Lepisosteus oculatus: one gene and its partner. The protein of the gene in region 1 purifies or fractionates together with the protein of each later gene. This does not show direct contact. Links are inferred from orthologs where the notes say so. Each region holds a gene or a part of one and is shown on either strand. Other genes may lie near its edges.

Region 1 (10,894 bases):
CACTTGGGAAAGCTTCCATCCCAACATCAGCAGCTGGTTTTCCTCCATCACTTTGCGATTGCATAACCAGTTAGAACATGACGGCAAAGCTATTGGTCAGAACGGGGAAACGTGTCGAGCTGCACGGCTCATCGCGCCAGTGCTAGTGTGATAAGTGAACACAGGGACGGTGCTCCCCCCCTCCCGGGCGGAAGGCTGCAGCTCGGGCACGTACCCCCATATGGGCCTCCGCTGTTCCGGCCGCTGCCTCCTCCGAAGTTGCTTCCCCCCTTCATGGGGCCGTAGCTGGAGGAGGACTGGCTGTTGTAGTTGCCGAAGTCGTTGTAGTTCCCGCTGCCGCCGAAGCTTCCTGCGAGGCCAGAAGAAGAAAAATAAATAAAGAGATCCGGTTAGCCCCGTAGGGCACCGGCACAGTTCAAGTTAAGCCAGGCTCTCCCCTCATGCGCTGGGGTGCCTTCACGAGCCCTCGATTCAGAGTGAGCTCCTGCAGCTTTCAGGCAAAGCACAGTAACCAGCCGGCCGAGCAAGTCCGGACCAACTGAGGCAAGGTTGAGGGTACAGGCAAGATACCTCAGCCCTGAGGCACCCAGCTCCACCTCTTAACTGGGATCCAGCACTGACAGCATGCGGAAACTCGACCTCCTAGCATGGTGACCGACAGACAGACGGTCACCCCACCCCCACCCGGAACCAGAACGCAGGAGGCTTTCAATCAGCTGCTGGAACGTCAGAAAGCACTCGGCTGGTCCGCTCGGGCACTCCGCGAGGCCACCACAAGCCGAGGCAGAAAGACCCGGAGACCCCGCCGCGCACCGCTCTCCCGCCAGGAGAGAGGCCGAGACCGTGGCCGCTCACCTCCTCCGAAGCTGCCCCCCCCTCCGTTGTTGTAGTTGTCGTAGCCGCCTCCGTTGCCTCCGTATCCGCCCCCCTGCCCGCCGCCGTAACCCTGCCCTCCGCCGTAACCACGGTTACTCCCGTAGCCAGGGCCGCCGCCGTAGCCGCCTGCAGGAGAGAGAGAGAGAGTTCGATGAGGGAGGCGCGTCGGCACGCGCAGGCCGCAGCCAGGCGAGGGTCTATCCCACGCGCCCGCTGTGGAGCCGCCTTCGGGCGCGAGAGACGGGAGAACAAACCCCCCCCCCCAGGAAGAGGCAGGAGTAGGAACGAGGCAGTGTGGACACTCAGCCGGCCAATTTTCCCCTCTCACACCCGAAGAAGCAGCCCCACAGCTGAAAGAGACCCCGACTGCGGGTCCGGAGCCACGGATCCCCTCCGGACACTGGCGATACTGGAATTCAGCTCTTAAAAGGAGAAGCTGGGACGTTCAACCCAGGCCGCAGTAGAAATATATCTTACATATACTATTAAAAATAAACAAGTAGCGATAAATCCAAACTCACTGTCTCCTCCGAAGCCATTGTAGCCCCCATCTCCTCCATATCCACCACGGCCTCCAAAGCCTCCTGGGGTAGCAGAAGAAAAAAACAACAACCCCGAGGTGGTCAGTGCAGTGTAACAAAACAACCTGAATAAAATTAAATCCAAGAAATGCCAGGGGGGGTTGGGGTAGGGAGGGGACAAAAGCAAGTTAAGGGGAAAAATGATTAAAAGGAAGAGAGATAAAAAGGAAAAAAGTGGTTTTGAACCACATACCACGGTCACCGAAGTATCCATCACGGCCAAAATCATTACCTCCAAATCCACCACCTCTGCCAAAGTTCCCTGAGCTGCTGCCCCCACGTCCTGGAAAGAACGAATGTCACCACAAAAGGACACCAGGCTCGGGGGAGCATTTTAACCAAGCGCACGTCTTGAGGCCTGCACAGCGCCACAAAACCTTCACAGTCCTCCACACGAGAGCCAGGAGGAACCCAGTGACAGACCACTGCACCGATCAGCTACCAAGCAGGACAGATGGACTGGACGGGCCCCACACACCTGTGTGTAAGGACCCAGTGCTTTCTCCTTTGGTCAGAATAAACCCCCAAAAGCACTCGGGTCTAAAGCCAGATCAATTCTGAGATAAGAGCACCCAGGGTCATCCCCCTCTCCCAAAAAAGAGCTGAAAACACCAATGGCACAGGGTCCAAGACCCCCACCCCCCCGCCCCACCCCAAGCGCAGAGGGCTTACCTCTCATGTTCATCCCTGCGCTCGCCATCTCCTGCTTCGACAGCGCTTTCCTCACCTCACAGTTGTGGCCGTTCACTGTGTGGTACTTCTGGACTGCGGAAGAGCGAGACAGGACAACGGTCAGAAACGGGGGGGGGGGGGCACGCCCCAAACCAGGGGTGCAGCACCACACCCACAAAACCCCCTCCCCCCCTAAATACCCAGAGCCAAGAAGCCAAAACAAAGACCCTTTTAAATCACACTCACACCCCGGCATAAGAACGTTCGGCACACGAGTTTTTGCCAATCTGAACATGAAGAGTTTGAGCGAACTTGTCCTCGGTTCGGAAAGGGTGGATTTATGATCTTCCGCCTTCCGAACAGATTCCCCATGAACGAATCAGGCTCGGATACCGGGGTACGGGTGTACATTGGAGAGGTACCGGCACACGTCGCTACAGTGGCCTGGCAGGCTCCCCCAGGGGCGCCACACCCCCCAGCACAAGGCCCGTCGCCCACCACACTTACTGACGATCCGGTCCACGGAGTCGTGGTCGTCGAAGGTGACGAAGGCGAAGCCCCTCTTCTTGCCGCTGGCCCGGTCGGTCATGATCTCGATGACCTCGATCTTGCCGAACTCGCTGAAGTAGTCGCGCAGGTGGTGCTCCTCTGTGTCCTCCTTGATGCCGCCCACGAAGATCTTCTTGACGGTCATGTGGGCGCCGGGCCGGGTCGAGTCCTGGGGGCAAGGAGACAAGGCGGGTCACGAGAGGAGGAGGAGGAGGCCGGGGGGTCAGTCCAGCCCCCTAGGGCAGCTACTGGCTTAAATCGACCCCATCCATCTGGGGGGTGGTGGGGTACCGGCTTCAATAACGTGGCTGAACAGCCTGTTCCCCACTCCCACCACTCTTTGGGTAAAACGGAACCCGCTGCCCCAATCAGAAGACTGAATGGATATTCTGCAGAGCCGAAAAGGAAGCCAGGAAACCAGCTTCAACATCAGTTCCCTCCTACCACCACCCTTTGCGCAAAGACGTTCCTCCTGTTCTGGCTCCGCAGTGCGGACAACAGGTCCCGCCGAGGACCGACGAGCCCCCCGCGTGTATCGGGGTGGCAGGCAGCGGCTCCACAGCTCTCTGGCGGGCCCTCGATCCGGAAACACTCTCCCCAACCCCAGGGAAAACAGGCAGCAGACTGGGGGGGGGGCTCACCTCTCTAGACACGGCGCGCTTGGGCTCCACCACCCTGCCATCCACCTTGTGGGGCCGGGCGTTCATGGCAGCGTCCACCTCCCGCACCGAGGAGTACGTCACGAAGCCGAACCCCCGGGACCGCTTCGTACTGGGGTCCCGCATCACCTGGGGGGAGAGAGAGAGGGGGGGTCACATCAGCACTGGAGGCAGAGGGGGAGAACTGCGCCGGGCCCCTTAAACTGAACCGGTTCCCCCCAAGCTTTAGGAAACCAATCAAAGTCACAGTGGTGGGGTCACCCAACCAGGGTCCCGGGCGGGACGCTGCCCTGAGCTCTGGGACTCACAGCCCACACAGATCACGGCCTGAGCTTTTAGTCCGCTCCCACTCGCGGCCGCCAGGCCTGACAAACACGCCCCCCCCCGCACAGCCAGGGCAAAGGGCAGGCGCTCCCCGCACCACAAACCGGCGCGTCCCGGGATCGTTTACACCCGCCCCCACACCGCGAGCACGGGGCCCGAGGGGGGGGGTCTCTCCTCTCCTTACCACGCAGTCCGTGAGCTGTCCCCATTGCTCGAAGTGGGCTCGCAGGCTCTCGTCCGTCGTCTCGAAGCTCAGCCCTCCGATGAAGAGCTTGCGCAGCTGTTCCGGTTCACGGGGGGCCTGCGGGGGAGAGCGGGGGTTAGAGGCAGGAAGCGCTGGGTAAGAGGCAGGCCGGACCCGCCGGTCACCCGAACCCGGCCGGAAACCCGCGACGATTGCACGCCCTGCAGAGCTTATACGCAAATGAAAACTTCCGGAGCGTGTCCTCCCACCCTCTTAGGGTTACACACACGTAGATCTGCTCCGCTCCGAATCAGCAACGCCAATTCCAGAACGCAGAAGCGAAGCGGCCCCAGGCCGGCGCGTGGGCACGCTAGCCAGCCCGCGTGAGCGCGGAAGGTTCCAGACCGGAGACAAAGGCCCTGGCAGGGCGCATGCGCGAGCTGCAGCCTACACTCACCGTCTCAATATTTACTAACACGGCCGCCCAGGCTCCACAAAACAGAGGAGCGCGTTTTAACAGCATCCCAGTCTTAATGCGGGAAATAAGCCGCATTGCACAGGTCTAACTGTTGTAAGAGCGATCTGGGACGACTGACCCAGGGCAGGACTTCCAAGGCCTGGGCGCCATGTTCGTTACACCAACAGGAAACAAAGAAATGGATCCGAGTCTTTTTTTCTTGGATTTGCAATATTTGTGTATATTCACCGATTAACGGTGTTCCCATTTGCTCCGGATACAGAACGCGGGTCGATGCTACAGCCACGCGAGACAAGCGTGTCTTTCTCCTGGGGAAAGACACACGATTTCGCTCGCAGGCGCGTGGCCTGCACACCCACCGCCCTCACGAAATGGCGGAGCGACAGATCGCACCTCACCAAAGACAGAAATAAAACACAGTAATGAACTAGAAAGACGGGAAATATACTACTGAAGTGAACAGTAACGATGTGCGTCTTCCCCCTTCCACAATTTCAGCAACAAACGAGCCACCGACTTATGAAAACACAGATGTCTTTTATAGCTACGACCTTTTACACCAATAAGCTTTAACTACCACGTTATTCAAAGCACGGGTATTTTGACTAAAAGGTCCTAAAAAACGCCTAGTAAGTTGCTTTAGTTTGAAGAAAAGCAAAAACTTACCTCCTTAGACATTACTACAAGATCTGTACCAGCACAGCGCCTCTTGCTGAAGGAACAAGGTCGAAAGAGCCCTTCTCACTGCTCAGGCTACTGAGTTATGAAGACGGTAAGTTCCGCCCACTGGCATCAGTGATTGGCTAAAAGTTCCCGCTGCAGCGCGGAGCTGGGAGAGTTGCTCAAAGCTCATTGGATAGAACTCTCGTCTATCTGGTCCTTCTAACCAATCGCAGAAATATTGTCGGAATAATCGCACCCCCCCCGTGTTGTGAAGTCGGAATCCGATTTGCTCCTCTTCCTGCCAATCATTGGGGAAGGCGTCCGAGCGATCGCGGAGAGAGCGGCCGGTGACGCAGTCGTGTTGTGGGGAGAAAAAGGATCCGCGTACTTGCGTGAATAAGGTGTCAATTAAATCAATAAAACATGAACATCGTCTTCATGAAATGTCCAAAGAAATCTGCCACCCAGCAATACTGGCCCATGCAACTGCATAAGCATGTCATTTTAGATGATTATTAGTGGTAGATGTATTACGTGAATTGTTACAGCAGCTATACAGAGAGCTAGGCTGTCGCTTTTTGCCAATAGGCACATTCTAAGCACTTTGAAAGTATGTTTTCCTATTATTTGTCACAGTAGTTTTTAGGTCTAATGAATACAACTCCTAACGTCAGAGATACAATTCCTAAACCCGAGACACATGGCTTGTTTGTATCAGCTAAACCTGCTTGTTTGGATTCAGAGGACCAGGGAAAATGGTCCTGGTCGAGATTTTGCATGAGATCTTGTTTTTCATCATCATCATTATCATTATTATTGTTGTTTGAAGCATTTTTATCATCCTGACGAGCGGGGAAAAGCCGTCTTCTTATCGCAGAAGGACCCCTTCAAAGCTCCCTGCGTGCGCGTGCGCGCTCCAGCTATTGTGTGTTTTTTTTTTGGCGCGCGCGTCTACGCAGTCAGGAGGAGAGTCGGAGAGGCGCTCGAGCTGCAGCTGCGGCGGCGGATTGGGTCGTAACGTTTTCTCTCCTGGATTCAGACGGTCTCTTCACCGACTGGGTGAGCCAAATTCTCGTTCAGTTCGCACCAGCGAAGAGCTGGAGGGGTAGGCTACTCTGCGCTATGTTAACGAAAACGTGCGAAAGAGAGTTTTTATGGTGGGCGGGGGGGGTCGATTTGAACGTTTCTTCGTTCACGTCTCTTATGTGAAAGCGGCGGGATTGAAAGAAACAAGATGGGGGGGGAGGAGGAGGTAGGTGGGTGGGGTCGTGTTGGGCCGAGCGGAAGAGCGACATTGATTGACAGTCGCCTCGGCCACTCAGAGAGGCGGCTTCCCTGCGTTGGCGGGGTCGCTGCACCAAGCGTACAAATCACAGACGCGTCAGGTAGGAGGGACTTCCTGTGCCAGGGTGATTTGCGTTACGGCCATGTGTGTTTGTATTGCAAATTGGGGTTATAAACTGGGATTTACAGGAGAAGGTGGGTTTCACAACAGATAACGCATGGAGTCTACTTTTATAAAAAAAACAACTGTGTGCAGCGATTCAGTTTGCCTGGTGAATGGCGATTTTTGTAGATAAGCGGTGCTGCTCTCTGCCCCCACCCCCTGTCTTGTCTCTCTGTGTGAATTCATTCGGAGCTCCCGGAGCCCGGCATGCTTCTCCAGAGTAAAATCTGGGGAAAAAAAATAAATCTCGCCCCGTCTCTCTCAAGACGATAAGGCTGTGAATGGAGCGGAACCTTTAGTGAGAGTGTTGTGACGAGCATTGCACGCCTCCCAACCGGTGTTGTGACTTGAAATCGGGTTGCCTGGGTTTGGGACTGAACGTTATGCTGAGTTCTGCTTGCAAACTTGTGCTGGCGTTTTTTTTTACCAGGAAAATGACCCCCCACCCCCACCCCGTGCCAACAGACGCGTACGGTGTAAAAGCCTTTAAAAGGAATGCCCTTTCCTTGCTCACGGTGAAAGCTCAACGCTCTCCTTAAATCTCGGGCGCGCTCACAAGACGAGGGAATTAAACCTCCCCTTGGAACACAAAAAACAAACGGGTGCCGGTGTCTCTCGGTAAGATAAGAGACTGGTGTGTGTGAATCCAAGCCCTCCGGCAAACTTCTTTAAGGTCCCGAGTGGAGAGGAGCCGGAAACGCACAGCTCTGTGATTTTGTGTTTGTCACATGCGCAGGCCGGGTTGGCGGTGCGCATCTTGCAAATCGGTAACAGGGACCGATCACCCCCATTGAAAGAATCAAGCAGCGACAATTTTTTTAATGTAGGTCATCAAAGAGTGGCGCCGATCCCCGCATCTGGGGGGTATGATGGGCTTTAGCGACGGCAGCGGGCATCGCAGTTTAAACCGCGGAGCGCCCCTGACGCCGCTTCTGTGGGTGTGCGAAAGTGTTACTCATCGGACGCGGTCAGGTAGCTCCCAGATCGGGAGACTGTTCCCCCCGGGCTCGATCGGGAAGCCTTCCGCTTCCAGTTCAGGATTTCCAGCCGTCGCGGGCGAGTTCAGCTCCGGGTCTGGCGGACACGGGGTCTGCGAGGGAGTGGGGTCGCGACTGAAGTCAGCGCTGGCGAGAGCATTCGTGGCACTTTCTGAAAAAAGGATAAAGACCTTGTAGGGGAGCGTAGAGCCCGATAATCTCACGGGGGAGATTGATGAATCTCCCCCACCCCCACCCATTGATGGATCCGGAGGAACCGGTTTTGGATTGATTGCTGACGAGTCTGATGAAAGTATCCCCACCCCGTGCAATATTACCAGCGTTGTTTTTCTGAATGTTGGTCAAAATGTGTATCACGCTGCACGTCCACGTGCTACAACCCCCCCACCGGGGGATCCACACGCATCGTGGAGAGCCAGGCTCTCGCACCGCACGGCCGAGGTGCGTCTTCGGCTCCTGCATCTCGTGCACTTTTTTTTTTGTAAACACTTCAAACACGTACAGGACAACAACAACAAAAACATGTCTATCCAGGTGAGAAAAGGGGGAGCTGGATTAACTGGAGAGATGCGCAAGTGAGTGTTAAAAGCGATAGGCTGATTCATGCATATTCATGCTTGCCGATCTGGGAAGAGCGCTTTAACTCTTTGGCGTCTTGTTTCCCCACTGATAGGCAAGCTAGTCAAAGTAATCAGCTGGATCAAAGGAAGCAGCTGTAAGAATCGCCATCAGCAGAGAACAGGGGTGGGGGGATCCTTTCAGTGTAACACAGGGGCTTCCTTTCCTGTCATTGTTCTGTGGGCAAGACGCCACCTTCAGATGGCAGAACCTGCCGCGCGTGGTTACCCCTTTCAGAAGCCCTTCGGGGCAGCGGTGTGGAGCGGCCGGCCGGGGCTCTGGACTCCTGACCTGTGGCCACGGGTTCGAGGCCGCGAGCGCGAGACTCTGCAGTCATCCCCCCCCCCCCCCCGATCCCTCCAGTGAAACGGCCGGCCGTGCAGAATAGGGCGAATTGGACTCTGCTTGGTGGAAGAGCCTCCGCGGAATGAATCCTAGCCTTGTCCCGAAGTTCGCAGCTCTCCCAGATGAAGTCCGCGTGGCGTGCTTTTTAAGGAGTATTCTCCTCCTTGCGCGAAAGCAGTCGAAGGCGTTTTCCTCCCTGATTGTCCCAGACCTTCTTGCATTCGTCTCTGTAGCAGCCCCAGGCTCTGAATTGTCTTTTCTCACCTTTTTCTTCCAGGCAGCAGCTGGACTTGAGCTCTTCCTGTGGGGGCACTGACACCCCTGGAACTGTTCTCCGTTGTTGGCACAGACCACAGTCTTCAGGCCTGGAGGATTTGCAGTAAGTGCGCAAGGCTTAGGCCAGCTCTTTAACCACCTGTTCAACAAGCATGGAGGGAAACTCACCCGCTGTAGAAATGTGTATTCTCCCATGCTCCAGCCTGTGATTTGCATTTCTGATTGGACAGGATCGGCCATCAGCTCCCTCATTGTGGCCGCAGCTGAGAGAGACTACTTTTTAAACATGAAACTGCACATGTACCATACATTCATATATATATATACATACAGGATTTTTAAAAGGGAACACGTTTTCAGGGAAATGTAGTGCTTCGCTGCATTATTGTCCAAGGGTGGTAACAGCCGTTTTGCCATTGTGTGTTTTTATGATGGGGAATTGTACTGTAAATGTACTGCAAGGGGTGAATCAGGAGCAGGCTGGCATTGCAGCCTCGCAGCACTGGGGCTCGGGGGTCCATTTCCTGACCTGGGCTGCTGTCTGTGTGGAGCTTGCATGTTTTCTCCTGGTTCACATGGGCTTCCTCTGGGTTGCTCCGGTTTTATCAGAAAAATCTGATAAATCCTGCCCACTCTTTGCTCGCCATCTTCTGGATTACTGATTTGCTCTTAAAGAGCCAGCTCTTAACAGTGTGAGTAGCATTATTACATGTCTGTATACCTCCCTTTAAAATGCAATTCGCATGTCTTGTCTCTGCTGAATCCCAGTGGAGCAAAGCCTGTTCCTTGTCCTCCTTGTCCTTTGATTTGAACTAAGCTTAACATTGAGAGTAGTGGGGCGGCCCGGCAGCGCAGTGGTTCGCCTTACAGCTTCGCAGCGCTGCAGAACCAGGTTCAGTTCCTGGGGTGGCGTCTGTGTGGAGCCTGTCTGCTCTCCCCGTGTTCGTATGGGTTTCCTGCAGGTGCTCCGGGGTCCTCAGATTGTCCAGCGACATGCCTGTTGTTTGTCTCCGGGGGAAAACTGGTCTTGGTGTGGGTGTGTGTGCCTGTCTGCCCACCTTCGTGCATTCTCTGGTGAAGCCCCGACTGGGAAACATGAGAAGCAGGACGTAATTAGTCTGTCACGCTTTCTCGTTCAACAATGAGTGCAAGTGATTGAGAGCGTACGAGAAGCTACAAACGAGAGAAGGCCATTTGAGCCACCTGTCCTGTTGGGTGGTTAGCAGCTAATTGACCCCAGGATCTTGTCAAGCTCTTTTTTGAGAGACACCATGGTGTCAGCTTCAACGACACGGCTGGGCAGCTTAATCCACACTCCCACCTCCCTCTGTGTAAAGAACGCACCTCCTGCTCACAGTTTTAACTGCACTCGGATCCATGGGGTGTCAACCGCCAAGCAGGCGAGATGGGCCGGATAGCCTCCTCTCATTTGTAACTGTTCTCATGTTCTTATTTGAAAATGTTGATGCTTTGCAGAAAGGAGCTAGCAGGCACGTATGGGGGTTGGGGGTTGTGTGTGTTGGCGAGGAGAAGTGCAGTTGTTTCAAAGCCCTTCTTGGAAGAATTGAGGTCTTGCAGTGGTTTATGTGGCCGTGCAGAACAACCAGACTTCCAAGCCCACCCACCCCACACACTTCTGCACTTGTGTCCAGAGCGTTTCCCCAGTGCTGTCTAGCATGTTGCGGTCTGTCTGTCGCTGGCAATGGAAGGCTGTGTATCTAATGTAAACGGTGTGCTGTCAAAATCTGACCTGACCTCCTTTCTGCGTGCCTTGGCGAGGTGCCTGGTTCATTGCCGGGGTTCATGTACAGGTAGTGAGGGGGTAGGGTGTTACTGAGCCCTAAAAGCACAGTGCAGCTGACCAGCGTAAGAGACAATGAGGGGAAACCCCAATAAAGTGCAGGCTCAGTGACCACAGCCTGGCCATAGAAACTGGACACGGACAGACCTGTCTGTACAGAGAGGATAGGCTCAGTGACCACAGCCTGGCCATAGAAACTGGACACGGACAGACCTGTCTGTACAGAGAGGACAGGCTCAGTGACCACAGCCTGGACATAGAAACTGGACACGGACAGACCTGTCTGTACAGAGAGGACAGGCTCAGTGACCACAGCCTGGCCATAGAAGGAAACGAAGAGCTGCAGTCTGGTAAACAATCTCCTGTCACAGCCTGAGGAAAAGGGACAGACCTTCTCAAATATTAGTTAGTGTTCCAAATATT
Region 2 (10,537 bases), on another chromosome or scaffold:
CAAGATAAGGCAGATTCAGGACAATCAAGGGAGCAGCTGAAAATCAGGTCTAGATTTTAACAGATGCACAGGGGAATCCTTTCTCCCCGGCTGTGCCTGACCTTTTTTTTCCTTTTTATGAGGTACATTAATTTCTTGACATATTCCTACTCGTTAAAATATTGGTACAATGTATTTAAGTTAAAATTCCTAATTGTCAGCAATAGATTTTTATGCCGAGTTGATTTTTTTTTTATAATTGACTGATAACTAATCTGAGCAATTACTGTGAAAAGGGCACAGCTACCTTTTAGTATTATGATTTGGACTATTTCCATTGCAGCTGCTCTTACATTTGCATGCTTGTTGATTGCATTGTGAGACTATTACAGACTGAGCCTCCTCCACTTCTCCTGTTTTCTGTCCTCTATAACCATCTCTTCAATCACATAGCTAAAAGAAATCACATTTCAGAGAGACCACATTCTGCTCCCTGTTAAATGTGATCAGATATAAGACTCGAGCCTGCTGATTTAAGTCCTGTAAAGGTATTTTGAGATTTTCTGAAAGTCACTTGGCTTTTGACTAATGCACATCCAAATTTTTGGCCACTTAAATGTTCTCCAGTCATACTGCGCTTTGAGATGGAGAGACCCTTGAAATGAAAATAGTTACATTGGGGATCTTTAATAAACAGTGATCTGTAATGCACTAGGATAAGACACAATGACAGCCATGTTTCTATCAAACATTAGAATAATCATGATTGATTTGGCTTTTCCAAGCTGGAAAGTAATGTTCAGAATAAGCCCCAATATAAGTCTACCTTAAAGGAATTAATGTCGTCTCACCTTGAAGTGGAAATACTTCTGTGTGATGTTCTGGAAGTCTTTTTGCTTAAATTTGTTTTAATCAGCTAGTGTAGTGTTGCAAAGAAAAAAGGCACATCTTCAGGCAGAGGTCATTGTGGAATTGAACAGTCCACTTCAAAGACACCTGGCTAACGCACACTGTGAAGTACTGTGGTTAGGGTGCCACGTCACATGCTCCAGAACAATCCCTTTTCTTTACAACAGGAGACTGGCAGGTGGTAGAGCTCCATTGTGATTCTCCTAAGCAGTACAAAACCACCAACAGCTGGCCTCTTTCCCACCCTGACTGGCCCTGGTGAAGGAGAATACAGCATTAACGGCACTGGCTGGGTTTGAGTGTTATTTAAACTAGACACATTCCAGACTTGTGGCCACTCTGGTAAACAATGGGCCATGCGTGGTAATCTGATCATCTGTCATTATGTAGGGAGAAACTATACGCCAGTGTCCCGTGGAACACAGAAAACATAGTGAGAAACACAATGCAATGCAACAACAGAACAAGAGCAGATGATTTGCTATTTAAAATAAAAAAAAGAGGAGAAAGCACACCCAGTGTTACTGAAATGGCTTCTGATGGGTATCAATCAAAGCACCGAGACAAGCAGGACGCACACTCTCTACTCTGAGGATGTTTATTAGACACTGTCAACATTTCGGCGCCGACAAAGGCCTTCTGTCCATCTGCAGAAAAGATGACTGTGTGTTATAAAGTTCACAGGGCTAGAGAGTGTGCATCCCGCTGCTGTCATTGCTCATTTTCTTTGACTTGAATCTGCTACATCTCCATACCTTGCACAGCAGGCCCTACACGTCTTTGTTGTACTGTTCTCGTTACAGCAGAGGAAGCTCACCTGGAGCTTTACGTATAGCAGGCCTGTTTGCCATCTTAGAGAATCCACCCTGGTATAGTCACAATTAAACCCCTCCTGAACTACACATTTTCCAGTGGTGTGTGATGGACTGAATGCCAGGCTACGACTGAGCCGCGGATCAGCTATTCATTATAATTTTGGCACTATAGAGATAACTCAACCCCTTTAAAGAGTACACTGTATTATATATAATACAGGAAAGCAAATTTGTTTGTTTCTTATTTAACGAAGTACAGTAAGGGTTTAATTGAAAATAACAATTGGGGTGAACCTGCTTGTATGGAGTATTTAGAATTGCCAAAATGAATTTAAAAATACAACCATCTGTTAATGCTGGCTTTTTGTCAGCGTTTAAGGGAGCCAGACATCCAGCTTGGCATCTCTCTCCGTTTTGCAAACCTGATTTCCAGCTGGCTCAAGGGTCAACACAAAATCAAAGCCAGTGTCAGCTCTGAGGTCTTTTTCCCGCAGCACAAAAAGTAGCCTGTCGGCAAGTCCACTGAGACTGTGAGAAATAATGGGTGCACAGTCCGACGTGTTTTGTTTTGTAAAATAGCCTGTTACCTTACTTTGAGCTCCAGATCTGATTTCTGTCAGTCTGCTGGTAGGAGAGGGGAGTGGCAGGAAAAAGCCAGGGACTGATGCAGAGGAATTCAAAGGGGTCCCAGGAATCGTCTCGTTTGTTTAGGGACATTGTCCTTAACCTCTTTCTTAACTGGAGCGAATTAGAGATATATATGTGAACAAAAAAGGAACAATTTGGTTAGAACAATATAAACACCAATATAAAGACGTTTCGTTTTCGTTTAGCTTTTGAACGGTGTGTTGCGAGAGTGTGTATGCACTTGCCGAACAATGCCTGTGACCCTGATGCTGTCCAGTGAGCCTTGAAAATATTCAGCTGATTTAGCTGTTGAAGCAGCTGCAGTGCCAATATGATTTTAACTGTTCCTCGTAGACGTCAAGTGTTGCTACCCTGAACCCAGACTAGAGGCAAGATGTTCCTGAATGAGGTGTTAACTCTATCACTTAAAACCCCACCTTTTCAGAACCTTAAAGTGCATCCTATTAAATATTTTGTCCCAGTATTACCTGTACTAGCCCACAGTTGTAAATGATTAGAATACTTTGGTGTCTTGTTGGGGGTTATTGAGGACTGCCAGATTCCAGCGTTAAATAGCCATCAGTGAATCATGTCTTACTATCAGCAGCACCAAGGGGTTTGCAGACTATAATCAAAGTAATTTTTTTGGAAAGGGCGTAAAAAGCCTGTTGAAGAATGCCTTCTTGTAGTTGATATTTTCCAGAGCAAAGGTTCTTTTTAACTAGTGCAACCAGGAGAAGAGTCTGCTTCATCCAACGGTCCACTCTGCAGCACTGTGATGATAGATGGCAGGAGAGAATCCACCAGCTGCAGAGCACTGCCTGTCTTGACACTGAACTATGTTAACGACCAGCACTCCATGTACACCTAGTATTCTAAATTGTTTAGTTATCGGTTTTGCTTCACTTCTTTACTTATTTATTGGTTTTTACTTTTATGATTATGACTTGTGATGTACCTGCAAACCCAAGTTCAGATCTGCGTGGCCCTTGCCTTACTTGAAAGGCACGAGAATGCATGTTTCTCTGCTCAATTAGGAGACAGCGTTTCTTCTCTTTAGAAAGAGACAGTAGATCCTGTTACCTGCATGTTAGATTGTCAAGTGCTGTGAGAAAGACTTATCTTGTATACTATTGTATCACAGTCTTGACTGAGAAAAAAAAAGCACAATTTTAGATGTTTCTTTTGCCGTTTTTTAAACTTGAATTTGCTCATTTTTACAAACGTATGTAGATATGAAATATGTTGCAGAGCACTGAGTATTACATGGAATGTGTGGTGCTTTAGCTTTGAAAAAAAAATAAAGAGTTCAACCTGTTTTGTAAAGTGTACAGCCATGTATGTAGCAGAAGGAAATAAACATAAAAAATAAAAAAAAACATACACTGTCATTCTATGAGGCCAGTTTTGTATGTCATTAGTCATATTAGTGCCAATGCACAAGATAGACGGGTTTTTTATGTTGTGACACTGCAAACCTATTTTAATTCTTTATCCAGAACCTTTAGAGATTGAACTCTCAAGCATGGGTCCAACCTGAACTTCAGACCTGTATCTGTGCAGCCCAGAAAACTCTCAACATTGTAGAACAACAAACGATTTTTGCCAATGGTCTAGCTCAAAAGAAGACACACATTTATCAAATCACTTTTCTTTCTGACACCTTTCTGGCACAAACTAGCCAGTCTGATGGCACTGGGGGGTTTTATGCTGGTGATGTGTACTGTTTGTGACCTTTATTCCTCAGACCACAGATCTCTGACTTCTGTCTTCAGCGGTCTCTGCTTACTTAGTGGGCTAGATCTGACTGAGTCACCCAACAGCTTGCACCACCCTGCTCCACAGGTCTGAAACTTCTCGTGATTTAACAAAGACTGAGAAAAAAAAAACATTCTCGAGAATGCAAAACAACATCCGAAGCAGATTTTGTAATTACAGTGTCAGCGTGATGACAGAACAATGATGTAGATGGTGCCATCTTACAGTAAAACATTAAACCCAGGTTATTAAAGACCCCAGGCACATGTTAACCTCAGTGTCTAGGCTACATTCCACTCTGGGTGGAATGTACAATTGTACAATCTGACCTACACAAATTTCAGCAAATTTAGTTCAGCTGGTAAAGCAATTTCTCACTTCTCCTGATCTGCTGTGCAGTGGGGCTTGTCACGTATCATCCAGGTGAGTGCACCACTTCAGCCATTCCGGGCCTACTATCTGTTAATGGCTTTGGAGTCCTTTTGGGATGAAAAGTGCTTCATAAAATGCAAGGAATGCAAGGAATTATTATTATTATAAACGGGCCTAGCACTGTACTTCATGGGTGGGTGACGTGGGTCCCTTACCCCCACATTAAGGTCTTAAGATCTCTGCACGTTGTACCGCTTTGACATTTTTCAGGATTTCTGCCAGACATTAACCTACATCTTCAACTAGACGTTGTGACAAACGTCACGAATGACGATAAAGTGATGTGGATCGGGGTCCCCCGTGTGGCGTTTTGGGAAAGTGCTGTCCACAGACCGGATGCGGAGCCTTTGTAGCACAAAAATATAGGAAAGTCCGAGATTATTTTTTGTTGTTGCTCACCGCTTACCATCGGTATTAACATTTCATGGCTGAAAGGGTCGATCACTTTTATAGATCTTAACATGAGGTGACGTATATTGTGCGTGAAATATACGATGCAAGGCTACACAGTGCATCCCCATACTCCTCTCCACCTGCCTCGTTAGGCAGTTATTGTGGTTCCGATAAGTGGTTGTTTTTTGCTTGTTCTGGTTAATGTATTAAAATGAAAAAACGACAACACATGAAAGGTCGATAATAGTCACACAGCTAATGAAATGTTAGGAGAATTACTTTTTTTAGCAGGTATAATTAAAATTATTACCTGTTGTACATACAGTACCCAAGATCATTTAGAATGCTGCATAATTAGACTATCGTTAAAAAATGTAATGATTTTTTAACGAACGTCCATTGACATAATTGAACCGTGTACTGTATAGCTACCTTCCATATACTGAAAAAAAAATGTAATCATTTGAACTCCATATAAATATCATTTATGTATATACAACGTTTTTATTATTTTATTTTCATAAGAGTTTCATTTTTAAACACTGTAATCAAGAGTGGAAAATTCAAGAGAAAATCGACGAAATTGTTATATACTTGTTGCGGTGACCGTGAAGCACCGTGCATGTACCTAGTCAAGATGGCGTCCTCATACGCTCATCAGACTAGTGATTAGTTCATCTCGAACGCTAATGTTAGCGGGTTGGTGGCTCTCTGGTCACATGACGGTGGACTTGACTTCCGTTCCACAGCCTACGTCACTACCTGCGTTGGACCCTTTTTTAGCGTCATTTAGCACGCGTCTCTTGGTTGCAGTTTGGCCTGCTGTCGGCGCCCGAAAAGTATCGTTCCTGGTCTTGACTTTAGGTGTTCCTTTGTATCCCATCTCGATATGGCAGCCGCCCCGGCACCGGTTAGGAAACGACTCCTGAAGGAGGAAGACATGACTAAAGTGGAGTTCGAGACGAGCGAGGAGGTGGATGTGACTCCAACCTTTGATACGATGGGCCTGAGGGAAGACCTCCTCCGCGGCATCTACGCTTACGGTGAGCCGGGGATAAGGCTGGGGCCTGTTCAGTTTTGAAAGCCTACGAAGATGGGCACGCATTAATTAAAGCTTCTAGAAATGCGCAGACGGTTTGACTACAAGGTCATATTTCGATTTTTTTCATAGCTTTTATTGAGGTGTTAAATGCTTCATTGTAGTTTACCATTGGGAAAAGTAGGCTAAATATTAAGAACGTCGTTAATGGAGGCGGAGCTGTTTGTGTTTTCGCTCCTGAGTCTGCCTTCCCTGGCGAGATCGTTGTTCTAATAGAGTTCTGTGTTGGTTTCATGTTTTTTATACAGGTTTCGAGAAACCCTCCGCTATCCAGCAAAGAGCGATTAAACAGATCATCAAAGGAAGAGACGTCATTGCACAGTAAGCTCAGCGTTGAAGAAGACGTTTAGTCTGCATGCCGATCCTGTTTGGAGCAGGGTGTTGAAAACCTGACTTTTTGTTCATTCCAGGTCTCAGTCTGGCACGGGCAAAACGGCAACTTTCTGTATCTCCGTACTGCAGTGCTTGGATATTCAGGTAAAGCTGTGTTTTTATTTCGTGCCTTTGAGGGTATTGGCGGAGCTGATGGGGAGAAAAGTGCAGTTTAAAAAAAAAAAATCTCAACGTGTATGGTGAAGGGAATAATTGTGCATCGCGCCATTGAGAATTTGACCATTTTTCATCTGATTCCTTGGTTGTCTTTGTTTACTACTTGCTCATCAAATACAGAAATAGGTATTTTAGTAGTGTCCCACTTTTTTACCTCAGCTGTTGACTGCAGCTCTCTGAACTATGAATGTTCCGTTCTGTAATGTGCAATTGGCATTCCAGACTGTAGATTAACTGTTTGACACCAATATCTTGGTCTTTATGCATGAGTGGGAGATGTACAAATGTCAAACAGCTGGCTGTCAAGCCTTGAGGTGTGACTGTTGGAAGTTTTAAGTAGAACCCGTGAAGATGGGGAAAAGAGCTTTCGGTATAAGTTTGCACATCAATATGTGGAATTGCTTAAATGTCTAGATTGCTTTGATGATTGTTGTACACTGTAACAGCTGATGTTTTCATCGGTAGATGAGTGATGCATCTACCAGAAATGACATGTAATGCCACATTGTCTTCCTGCCTCAGTTTAAATGTGCCTCACAATTGTTTCTAAACTTCGTAGGTTCGTGAAACACAAGCACTCATCTTGGCACCAACCCGAGAATTGGCTGGGCAAATACAAAAGGTTGGATTTCCTGATTTATCTTCGTCTTTTCTCTCTGAAGCCCCAGATTCTTATGTTGTTCAATAATTTGTGGTGCATGATGCATGAGAGTCTTTTGCAGAAGAACTGCAACACTGTTTTTATATTTCAGGGTTAGAAAAAATCAGCATTGATAAGTGCGTTTCAAACCACAATAAAAGTAAAATGGACACAGTAACTTGTAAAATCTTCTATTTATATCACAGGCAGGTATATATACAGGTATATCACCACCTGTAATTGTTCGCGCGTACGTTACACTAGTCGTTACAGTGACTAGTGAGCAGGAAGGGCTGCTTCACGTCCCAGCTCACGGGAACTCGCACTCTTGCCCGTGGCAAGACCAGGGGTCGGCAAAAATATGGTGACTTTCAGTTTTTTCAAGATTTTGTGCTCAATTTGTAAGATTCTGTAGCATTTCTATACCTTGTTACTGGGGTTTAATAACTGGGATTGGGACTGCGGTTCCCCCGTAAATGAGATCTTTTCCAGAACGATAAACATGTTTGCTGGAAGTTAGACCTGTGATAACACCTCTTCAAATGAAGCCTTTTCTGTGTAACTTCCCAGTGAAGTTTAATGCCGCCTTCCATCCTGCCCTCAGCCTCTTGGGTAATGTCTCTTTGAAGAAAGTGGAAGCTCGAATGCCTCTCAGCCCCTGCTTTAGCGTGTTCATGGGCTGCAGGCTCAAGTGTCCGGTTATGTGGGTACAGGGGCTCCATTCAATCGGTGTGAATTGGGAAATTGAGCGTCGTGTCGGAGCCGTCACTTTCGTTTGAAATCCTCGCTAGGTCCTCCTGGCTCTGGGCGACTACATGAACGTGCAGTGCCACGCCTGCATCGGTGGGACAAATGTCGGCGAGGACATCCGGAAGCTGGATTACGGACAGCACGTTGTTGCAGGGACCCCAGGACGCGTGTTTGGTAATGAACGCATGAATTACTCCAGACTTGGTTTTTGCAGAAGCACGTCCGTCCTAAGTACGACGGGTTGCATGCATCTTGTAAACCGTTTTTGGCTTCAGATTTGGCCTCCGGCTGTGTGGTGCTCACTGTGATGTTTCTGCCTTCTGCTGCTTTCAACAGACATGATCCGCAGGAGGAGCCTGAGAACCCGTGCTATCAAGATGCTGGTTCTTGATGAAGCCGATGAAATGTTGAACAAAGGTAGAGTGATGCTGCTCTTTCCCTTTTGTGAACCTTGCATCAACAAAGTGTTCCTTTTTTTGTATTCTTGCCAGCAGCACCTGCTACCCAATGCTCCAGTCTTAGTTATATGTAGATTTTCAAAATGTGGGTAATTTCCTAATTCAGAGTATTTCAAATGTCGGATGCATTCAGTTTATATGACTGAATGGTATCAAATTTTCAGTTTTGGTGGATAATGGTTTTGTAAAGACAAATATCCCTTTTAACAAATTACTTTTATTTACAGCACTTCGGACACATGTAGGGTTTATTGTATTGTGTACCTGTATAGAAAGCCTTGACACTGAGAGGAATGTACATAGATGGGTATCAGTATTGTTTAGATGGGTTTTTAAGGCCTTCCTGAAATCGAGTGTTAAATGTTGGTTTTTAAATGGTAACATAAACCTATTTTTTCTGTTTTTCAAGGTTTCAAAGAGCAGATTTATGATGTGTACAGATACCTGCCACCTGCTACACAGGTGTGTCTGATCAGCGCCACGTTGCCACATGAAATCCTGGAGATGACCAACAAATTCATGACGGACCCCATCCGAATCCTGGTCAAACGGTAAGAGCTCTCCGGATTTAAATTTGTTGCACCAAGGAAGTTTTTTTTTAGTTCGTCTTAATGGGTTCATATTTTGGGTCTTGCTGTAAAGCTGCTCACAAGTAAATTGACTACTTTACGTATCTCTTAGCTCATATATTAATTGAGTTTCTTTTCCTTTGCCCTTATTTCAGTGATGAGTTGACACTAGAAGGCATCAAGCAGTTTTTCGTGGCTGTGGAAAGAGAAGAATGGAAATTCGACACGCTGTGTGACCTGTATGACACTCTGACAATCACGCAGGCTGTCATTTTCTGTAACACCAAGAGGAAGGTTTGTGCTTTTCTGAAGAGCAGAACAGCTTAGTGGACATGTTTTGGATTGGAAACAGTGGCATTTTGTCACATTTTAGTTTTTCGTGCAGTATTTTACAGAGGTCATGAGCACACTTTGGTCCAGTTAAATCTTAGATTTCAGATAGTTTTCAGAATAAATGATGGTTGGATTACAATTTGTGGCCATGAAACTCTGGCTTCAGTTAGACTTATTGGTGGGGTATACTTAGGTCTGGAAAGGTGTATGGACAGAAATGGCAAAAGGGAAGGGTTTGATTTTAAATTGGTAATCGATCAAGTGGAAGTTAGTCCTTACTGTACCATAACCTTTCCCACCAAAGCCAGGACTGTGCAAGTGCTGGGGGAATCGGAAGTGATAGAGAGTCGTTGCTTGGTCTCTTTCAACAGTCCCCATAATGAAAATCTCACAGACAGCTGGGGGTACTTGAATGGCATCTGCTTCTTTCATTTTTAACATTACCTTGTTAGTACAAAACAGTAGCTGCATTTTAGTTGTAGACTCCTGTATATGGTACTGACTCTCTTTGTGGTCTTGTTTTTGTCGTAACTGTAGGTGGACTGGCTGACCGAGAAGATGAGGGAGGCCAACTTCACAGTGTCCTCGATGCATGGAGACATGCCACAGAAGGAGAGAGAATCCATCATGAAAGAGTTCAGATCGGGTGCAAGGCATGTAAAGAAGTTACTTTGCTAGTTTCCTCAAGATGGTCTGCCTAACCGATGCCTGTCAGGGGAATGTGTATTTGGTTTAAAGTATGTAACCTATCTAAAAGGTGACTTTGCTTCTTTTTTTTTGTGAGGCAGTCATCTCAAATAATAGAACCTACTTTTGGTTCGATTAGTATAGGTTTATTGTGGCTTTAGGTTTAAGCTACCCTCAAAGCACTGGGCAAAACTCGGTCAACCAGTCTTAGGTGTAGAAGAGTGTTTTTAACCCATGTCTTTTCTTTTTCAGCCGAGTTCTCATATCCACAGATGTCTGGGCCAGAGGTCTGGATGTGCCCCAGGTGTCCCTGATTATCAACTACGATCTGCCCAACAACAGAGAATTGTACATTCACAGGTATTGTCCCTTGATAATTGAGTGTCAGGTGGCATATTTAAATAGCCATTACAGTCTTGGGGAATGGCTTCTACCTCATCATGGAATTGGCCTTAGGTAGCCCATCGTGTGAACCAGATGTTATTCATTTGATGCACTTATGTGCTCATCTGGACTCTTTCTTCATGAATATTAAAATG

What was found. The genes of interacting proteins can lie anywhere in the genome.
Region 2: the proteins of hnrnpa1b (region 1) and eif4a3 purify together in Homo sapiens (co-immunoprecipitation; 4 studies listed by BioGRID and IntAct, with this or other methods). This does not show direct contact. The link is inferred for Lepisosteus oculatus from reciprocal best matches to the Homo sapiens genes HNRNPA1 and EIF4A3.

The regions. Positions count from the first base shown.
Region 1 is NC_090696.1:19,464,987-19,475,880, reverse strand, and holds the start of hnrnpa1b (heterogeneous nuclear ribonucleoprotein A1b), read right to left. Parts: upstream 5,099-10,894; 5' UTR 5,002-5,098; coding exon 4,990-5,001; intron 3,963-4,989; coding exon 3,846-3,962; intron 3,467-3,845; coding exon 3,320-3,466; intron 2,848-3,319; coding exon 2,637-2,847; intron 2,223-2,636; coding exon 2,130-2,222; intron 1,741-2,129; coding exon 1,651-1,740; intron 1,461-1,650; coding exon 1,398-1,460; intron 1,003-1,397; coding exon 856-1,002; intron 350-855; coding exon 215-349; intron 1-214. UniProt on the Homo sapiens protein: Involved in the packaging of pre-mRNA into hnRNP particles, transport of poly(A) mRNA from the nucleus to the cytoplasm and modulation of splice site selection.
Region 2 is NC_090712.1:4,822,429-4,832,965, reverse strand, and holds the start of eif4a3 (eukaryotic initiation factor 4A-III), read left to right. Parts: upstream 1-5,672; 5' UTR 5,673-5,802; coding exon 5,803-5,956; intron 5,957-6,260; coding exon 6,261-6,333; intron 6,334-6,422; coding exon 6,423-6,489; intron 6,490-7,120; coding exon 7,121-7,183; intron 7,184-7,992; coding exon 7,993-8,125; intron 8,126-8,287; coding exon 8,288-8,368; intron 8,369-8,818; coding exon 8,819-8,960; intron 8,961-9,133; coding exon 9,134-9,272; intron 9,273-9,848; coding exon 9,849-9,964; intron 9,965-10,250; coding exon 10,251-10,358; intron 10,359-10,537. UniProt on the Homo sapiens protein: ATP-dependent RNA helicase. Involved in pre-mRNA splicing as component of the spliceosome. Core component of the splicing-dependent multiprotein exon junction complex (EJC) deposited at splice junctions on mRNAs.